Xenopus tropicalis: one gene and its partner. The protein of the gene in region 1 interacts with the protein of each later gene in a pairwise test. Links are inferred from orthologs where the notes say so. Each region holds a gene or a part of one and is shown on either strand. Other genes may lie near its edges. The genes, in order: lhx9 and khk.

Region 1 (3,041 bases):
AAAAAAAACACAAGAAAAAAAGTAACATTCTGCTTTTTCTGGGTCTGTTTTAAGCAAGCACCCAACATGAAAAAGTAAACAATGCTCATTTGCACATAAGATATTGACTTTTTTTTATACAAAAGTAACAAAAATATTATATATTAGAAATATTTAATGTTTGTCTGGTACAATCTATCCAATACCAAAAAAAATCAATGGAGAAGAAAAACTCACTGTTCACAAAACATTTTTTACAAAATTGTATTTTGCTTATTTCCATTTTACCTAAAAAATGAACGGTTCAAATTGTTTAAAATAAACATGCCACAAATATACAGGTATAGGATGCCTTATACAGAAACCCGATATCCAGAACACTTCAAATTACGGAAAGGTCATCTCACATAGCCTCCATTTTTACTTCAAAATTTTAAAACATATTTTCTATTTTCCTATAATAATAAAACAGTACCTTGTACTTAATTCCAACTAAGATATAATTAATCCTTATTGGAGGCAAAACTTTCCCAATGGGTTTATTTATTGTTTAAATGATTTTTTTTCGAGTATGGAGAAGTATAAAGTATGGAGATCCAAATTATGGAAAATCCCTTATCTGAAAAACCTCAGATCCCGAGCATTCTGGATAACAGATCCCATACCTGTACATCCAATGCTTATTTTTAAAAAATATATTAGAAATATTAAGCTTCCTAAATTTTGTGGAAAACCATTTTTGGCAAAAAAAAAAAAAATTACAATGAGAAAACGAATGATTTTCCTGAAACTTAATATGCATCTTTCATCACTTTAGCAGAAAAATGTTGTGTGAATTACATTTTTTTTTACTTTGTGTTCATTTAAAAAAAGTAAAACATTTTGACTAAAATTTAGAATGAAATATAATTTTATTCCAGTTCATTTTGGTGAATTTAATTCAAGATTATGGAAATAAGTAATATACAATTGTATAGAGGCACTTTTAAGGATGTGTGAATTTGAATTTAACCCTTACCTCATTTGATTGTTCTCAACATAAAAATAAATGATGACACCGATTACTTGTGCCAATAACTTACATGTCATTTTTTTTGTGCATCCAGTCATCGCCCCATTTGCTATTAAAGGCAGAGTGAAATCTAGAGAACAGGTCTTTCTGCAGAACCATCGAAGGACATTTAATATAATTATTGAGAGAGGAGAACAGAGGGAGGCTCACTGGAGGAAGTAAGAGAGAAAAGTCTAACATTTTTGAAAAAGATGTGCAACAGAACCGTTTTTAGCTTCCAAGAAGGTAGGAAATGAGCTTTTGGACAAATTTTAATAAATAGGGCAATTTACTACAATAATTATTTTTTTCCTGAAAAGTGTAGTGAGACTTTTTCAGAGCTAGCTAGATGGACACACAAAAAGAAAATCAATGAACGTTGTGGCAGGTCTGTGACAGCAGTCAAGCTGCAGTCCCAGCAATATGAGTTAATGGGCATAGAGAATTTCACAGTGAGAGAGATAGAGAGAAGAGCAAAATGTAAGTGAAAATCCCCTGCACTGGCAATGCAATAAGGTTAATATATTTCAGTAATAGGTTATATGCAAGATTTCACACAAATGTTTTTGAGGGATTGTCATTATCTTGCATCTTTACAAGCTCTGCCCTTCTACATATATCCTTTTCAATTTAGAGTTCATGTTACCACCTTCATCATGCAGACTTTAACATTTTCTGTGAACAGTAATACAACAGAAGCCTATCTTCTGCATTTGCTTCACTGAGTGTCTACCTTAAATTTCTTCTTTCTTCCAAAATATTTTGAAGTGTATTTCAATGGATGGTAGAAAAAAATAATAATAAAAATAATGCAGTCTTGTGAAAATATTCATAGGGGACAGCAAGTGTAGAGCCGCAGCAGATGTTAAAAAAGGTTGGTTAGTGTTGTTTGAGAAGGGCTCCCGGACTCATGGGTGTCCATATTTGGGGTTACAGATGCCCCGACATTGAGGGAGGGGCTGGTGAGGTCTGATAATGTGGACGTGGCACCGGTTGGCGTTAGTGCAGCACTCTCTGCAGATGCTGGAGCGCTGAGAGAGGGACCTTCAACTTTATCGCCTCCCCCATTCTCCTGACGCAAAAGATTCCTTCTGAATTTCGCTCGTGCGTTTTGAAACCAAACCTGCAAACCAATCCCAGGGCATTCCTTTACCAATTATTTTATTTATTTGTTGCTTTATTTTGCTGGCTTTCTAACTTCTTTGTCCCTACCTTTTTCTTTAATGGAAGCTAAATACAAAAAACAATCATTGCCTTGTACCTTTAAAGGAGACATATAGCATATTTCAAAAAACATAGCTGAAATAAATAATATAATGGCACCTGATTTAAGGTTTGGCTATATATGATCATTACCTCTTAAATTTAAACATTTTGGAACTCTCCATAGATCACTTTGGATGCACGAGTAGTGGCAGTTTCTTAAAACAATAGATTTTTAGTGGCAGCCAACCACAGTTTTTCCCTCCCCTATCAGGTTCACCAAGCCAATCGCTGTCTGCCCAAATCATGGCAATAGCCTGCATAGTGGCTCTCCTGAACAGCCATGGAAATAGCTTAAAGCAGTAGAATGACTGGCACTTTCCTTCTATTATAGGAGTATAATGCAATAGAAAATACTTGTTATTGAGACTATATGTCACCTTTAAATTGACTTAGCACTAGAATATATTATTTATATATGTATTATCCCTAATAACTTGTCTTTATCAGAAAAACACATTCATATTTATAGATGTAGAAGCATGAAATAATGAACTTAGGCAAAAAAAAATTCAGTGTTGTTTTCAGTAGGGTAATACATAAAACAAAAGAATAATGAACCATATAGTGTGAAAGTCTCAACCTTAAAGCATTTTACTCACAATTATAACAATGCTAAATCAGTAGTATATACAAAAATGAATAATAATGTGAATGTTAAGCCCAAGAATGTCAAACTTACAATCACTGCTCATTAGCTGTTACGCAGTATACATCCCTGCAGCCTTTTAGTGGATATGAAATTTAC
Region 2 (4,578 bases), on another chromosome or scaffold:
GGATTGGAGGGTACTGGGACAGGGCTGGGTACTGGCAGAGGGTACTGGGACAGGGCTGGGTACTGGCAGAGGGTACTGGGACAGGGCTGGGTACTGGCAGAGGGTACTGGGACAGGGCTGGGTACTGGCAGAGGGTACTGGGACAGGGCTGGGTACTGGCAGAGGGTACTGGGACAGGGCTGGGTACTGGCAGAGGGTACTGGGACAGGGCTGGGTACTGGCAGAGGGTACTGGGACAGGGATGGGTACTGGAAGAGGGTACTGGGACAGGGCTGGGTACTGGCAGAGGGTACTGGGACAGGGCTGGGTACTGGCTGAGGGTACTGGGACAGGGCTGGGTACTGGCAGAGGGTACTGGGACAGGGCTGGGTACTGGCAGAGGGTACTGGGACAGGGCTGGGTACTGGCAGAGGGTACTGGGACAGGGCTGGGTACTGGCTGAGGGTACTGGGACAGGGCTGGGTACTGGCAGAGGGTACTGGGACAGGGATGGGTACTGGAAGAGGGTACTGGGACAGGGCTGGGTACTGGCAGAGGGTACTGGGACAGGGCTGGGTACTGGCAGATGATTAGTGGGGGACACAGACACTCATGGGGGGGGGGTAAGAATTCTATATTGCAGAATCTCAGGACAAGAGAGCCCTGCCAGACAATTATGGGCACTGACACCCACTGAATCCCAAACTACAGACTCCACCCCCCCAACATTTTCTCCCAAATACCTTCCCAGAACTCTCTTCTCTATGCCCCTCCCCCTTTAATATTAATGAGCCATATTCTCTGTACCCCTGGGACTGCCCAATAGCCAATAGCAATCCCTCTACATGATCCCATGGCTGTTTCCTACAGTCGGTACTTACTCTGCCATATGCCCGGGGGCCAGGGAGCCCATGAAGGCACAGGGAGCCCCCAGTAGTGCCAGGATGGTGCAGGAGTTGGAGGCATTGCCCCCGCGCTGCCAGCGCTGAGACAGGCACCTACAGAGGAGACATGTGGGTCAGACAGAACCATACGCAGTGCCGGCAGGTGGGCACAGGGAGACACAGGGGGGCACAGGGGGGCACAGGGGGACACGGGGGCACAGGGGATGGAGTTTAGTGTCAGCGAATGGCACGTCCCCCAATCACAGCAGTGAGTACATACTCAGGGGATCACTCACCTGCTGTCTGAGTCCTCCTCGGGGTATTTATCCACCACACTAATAATATCCAGGCACACCAGCCCGATGCACAGGATTCCCTTCTCCCCCATTGCTCCCCTCTGTGGGCAAAAGAAAAGATTCAAAACAAGTGGGAAGTGCTCTGCCCCCGCTGGTATGTGACCCTTGCCCTACGGCACCGCTGCGTGTGAACCTTGCCCTACGGCACCGCTGCGTCAGCAAACTCTGCCCTTCCTCTCTTTAACAGAAACTGTATCTGCCCAGTGCCTTGTGGCTCCCTATATCTGTCTGTATATATATATATATCCCTATATCTGTCTGTATATATATATATATCCCTATATCTGTCTGTATATATATATATATCCCTATATCTGTCTGTATATATATATATATCCCTATATCTGTCTGTATATATATATATCCCTATATCTGTCTGTATATATATATATCCCTATATCTGTCTGTATATATATATATCCCTATATCTGTCTGTATATATATATATCCTATATCTGTCTGTATATATATATATCCCTATATCTGTCTGTATATATATATATCCCTATATCTGTCTGTATATATATATATATCCCTATATCTGTCTGTATATATATATATCCCTATATCTGTCTGTATATATATATATCCCTATATCTGTCTGCATATATATATATCCCTATATATGTCTGTCTGTAACCCATGCCATTTAGCCGTATCAGAACTGGAATGGCCGCTCCCCAGGCTACACAGCACCGTATCTATAGAGCAAACACAGTTATTACCAGTGCACATTAATATATACGTGTATAAAAGACTTTCATTTTTAGGCTCACTAAATCTTCTCAAAACTGATCTGTAGCCCCTCTACGCCCGCTGCCTCGCATCCCGCTGCCTCGCATCATCCCGCTGCCTCGCATCCCGCTGCCTCGCTGCCTCGCATCTCGCTGCCTCGCATCCCGCTGCCTCGCTGCCTCGCATCTCGCTGCCTCGCTGCCTCGCATCTCGCTGCCTCGCATCTCGCTGCCTCGCATCCCGCTGCCTCGCATCCCGCTGCCTCGCATCCCGCTGCCTCGCATCCCGCTGCCTCGCATCTCGCTGCACATACTGTGACAGTACCTATTAAAGAGCAGTATCTCCCAGTATTTGAGCAATGGAGGGGACTGTGCTGATTTCATTTGGGTTGTTTCATTCAGGGAAAATCTCTGCTTATTGTTATTTCTTGAGCTTAACAGGGAAAGTGTTAGGTAGGTAATTAGATTCCCAGGGTGCAGATATTCCCCCTGCATAATGGGCTCCTGCTGACAAAACAGGCAGAACAAAGGATAACAAGAGAGGGTTGTTTATACAGAGCTCAGTATTTGTGGTTGAACTAAAGCCATACATGTACTAATAATATTGCACAAAACAATCATTGGGACATGTATGGTCCCCCCCCAGGCAATGTGGGGCATCGGTTGGTCAATTTAGTACTAACAGCAGCCAATGAAGCAGGGGGAGGAGTCACAGCTCATATTGTAATGAGAGGAGGCGGGACTTATTTCTACCTGATGCTGACAAACAGGTGAGTATGGGGGGAGGCAGTGTTATTATCACATTCCCCGCCCATGGGGGGGGGACAAGCTTGCAAAGCATTTCAAACAGCTTGGGGCCCCTTTCTTCTCCCGCTCCTGGCTCTGCCCTTATCTGCCCCACAGGCTCTGCCCTTATCTGCCCCACACGCTCTGCCCTTATCTGCCCCACAGACTCCCTGACTGACACTCCCATCCGCCACTAACCTGCCTCTCCCCCCAGCTTCCGGGTTCTGTCACACTGGCCCCGCCCATAGTGGAGATCATGTGACCACTAAGAGACGCACGCCCCCCTGTGTATTCACACCGCACGAGTGGAGAAATGGATGGGCGGGGCTATCTCTGGATGGGCGGAGCTATCTCTGGATGCGTGCTCTAGCGCTAGCGGTGCGCTCCGGTTACAGAGGCGCAGGGTTGCCAGGTTGGCAGGTTTTTCGCCAAAGTACAAACCCAAAGTCAAGGTACAAATTTAGTCCCGTTTTTGGAGCCTTGGCGGGTTTGTAGTTTGGAAACTAGCCAAAGTTGTTTTCCTCTGACGTACCTGTCCCAGTGCATGTTGGGTAATGTAGTTTGTATTTTACAATTAACCCACAGCTAAGATTAATATAAAACTACAATACCCAGCATGCAATTATAGATAGAGGCTCCCTTTTCCATTCCTCTGCTGAACCTGAAGCAGCAAAACTACAATAACCTGCAGGGACTGGCTTATAGCCCCCCACCCCCAGCATCGCTGCCCCCCGATACACGGGTGTAAGGAATGGGCCCCAGATAACTGACTCCGCAGTCACATTCCGTAGGGGCAGTTCCAGTCACTGCCGGTTGGAGCTAACGAGCAGCGACACATTCTGTCCGGCCCGGGGCAAATTGTCCAGTAATTGCGCCTCGTAATGATAAGTAGCAGCTGTGCAGGGTAATTTGTAGCCTTCCGACAGGGAAGCGCCTCTGGGCTGAGACTGGGCGCCGGGAATATTCCGTGTTAGATCTCTATCATTAGCCAATGAGGAGCCTCTTGAGATTCCAGACTGGGGCAGATCCCCACGGCAATGAAGCTGTTAATTCCAAGTGTCTTTGGGCTGAAGTTACCTGTAGGGCAAATATCCCCTCTAATACACAGGGTGGGGAGGGGTCCTGTACTGTATATTAGGGGAAAGGTGCTCTGTGTGATTCATTGGGGGGGAGGAAAGGAGATTTCACCATCAGCATAGGAAGGGGTTCCTTACTGTAGGGGTTTGCCTACAGGGGAAGGAATATATGTGTACGTATCAGTATAAGGTTAGCTTTGCCTTTATCTCGCTGTGCCAGTCGCTGTGCCGCACACAGAAGCTGAGGGTAAGGAAACTCAGGAAATGCTGATTCAGTAAAAATAAAATATGGCTCAGGCTTTATTCCATAGAAAATCACATGACAGTGCGACCGGATAGGCACATGCTAAGGCTTTGGGTGTCAGTGCCCTGTAATCCTGTAGCGTGGCACTGCATTGGGCAAGATGGAGACAGTAGGGCAAGATGGAGACGGGACAGTGGGGCAAGATGGAGACGGGACAGTGGGGCAAGGTGGAGACAGTAGGGCAAGATGGAGACAGTAGGGCAAGATGGGGACTGTAGGGCAAGATGGAGACAGTAGGGCAAGAAGGAAACAGTAGGGCAAGATGGAGACAGTAGGGCAAGATGGAGACAGTAGGGCAAGATGGAGACAGTAGGGCAAGATGGGGACAGTAGGGCAAGATGGGGACAGTAGGGCAAGAAGGAAACAGTAGGGCAAGATGGAGACAGTAGGGCAAGATGGAGACAGTAGGGCAAGATGGAGACAGTAGGGCAAGATGGAGACAGTAGGGCAAGATGGGGA

Evidence for each region.
Region 2: the proteins of lhx9 (region 1) and khk interact in binary tests that used the Homo sapiens proteins (3 or more experiments, as listed by UniProt). The two-hybrid records come from large-scale screens. The link is inferred for Xenopus tropicalis from reciprocal best matches to the Homo sapiens genes LHX9 and KHK.

What each region holds. Positions count from the first base shown.
Region 1 is NC_030680.2:111,158,921-111,161,961, reverse strand, and holds the end of lhx9 (LIM/homeobox protein Lhx9), read right to left. Parts: intron 2,154-3,041; coding exon 1,896-2,153; 3' UTR 618-1,895; downstream 1-617. UniProt on the Homo sapiens protein: Involved in gonadal development.
Region 2 is NC_030681.2:161,502,730-161,507,307, reverse strand, and holds the start of khk (ketohexokinase), read right to left. Parts: upstream 2,970-4,578; 5' UTR 2,938-2,969; intron 2,911-2,937; exon of another isoform or gene 2,279-2,910; intron 1,261-2,278; 5' UTR 1,252-1,260; coding exon 1,160-1,251; intron 978-1,159; coding exon 861-977; intron 1-860. UniProt on the Homo sapiens protein: Catalyzes the phosphorylation of the ketose sugar fructose to fructose-1-phosphate.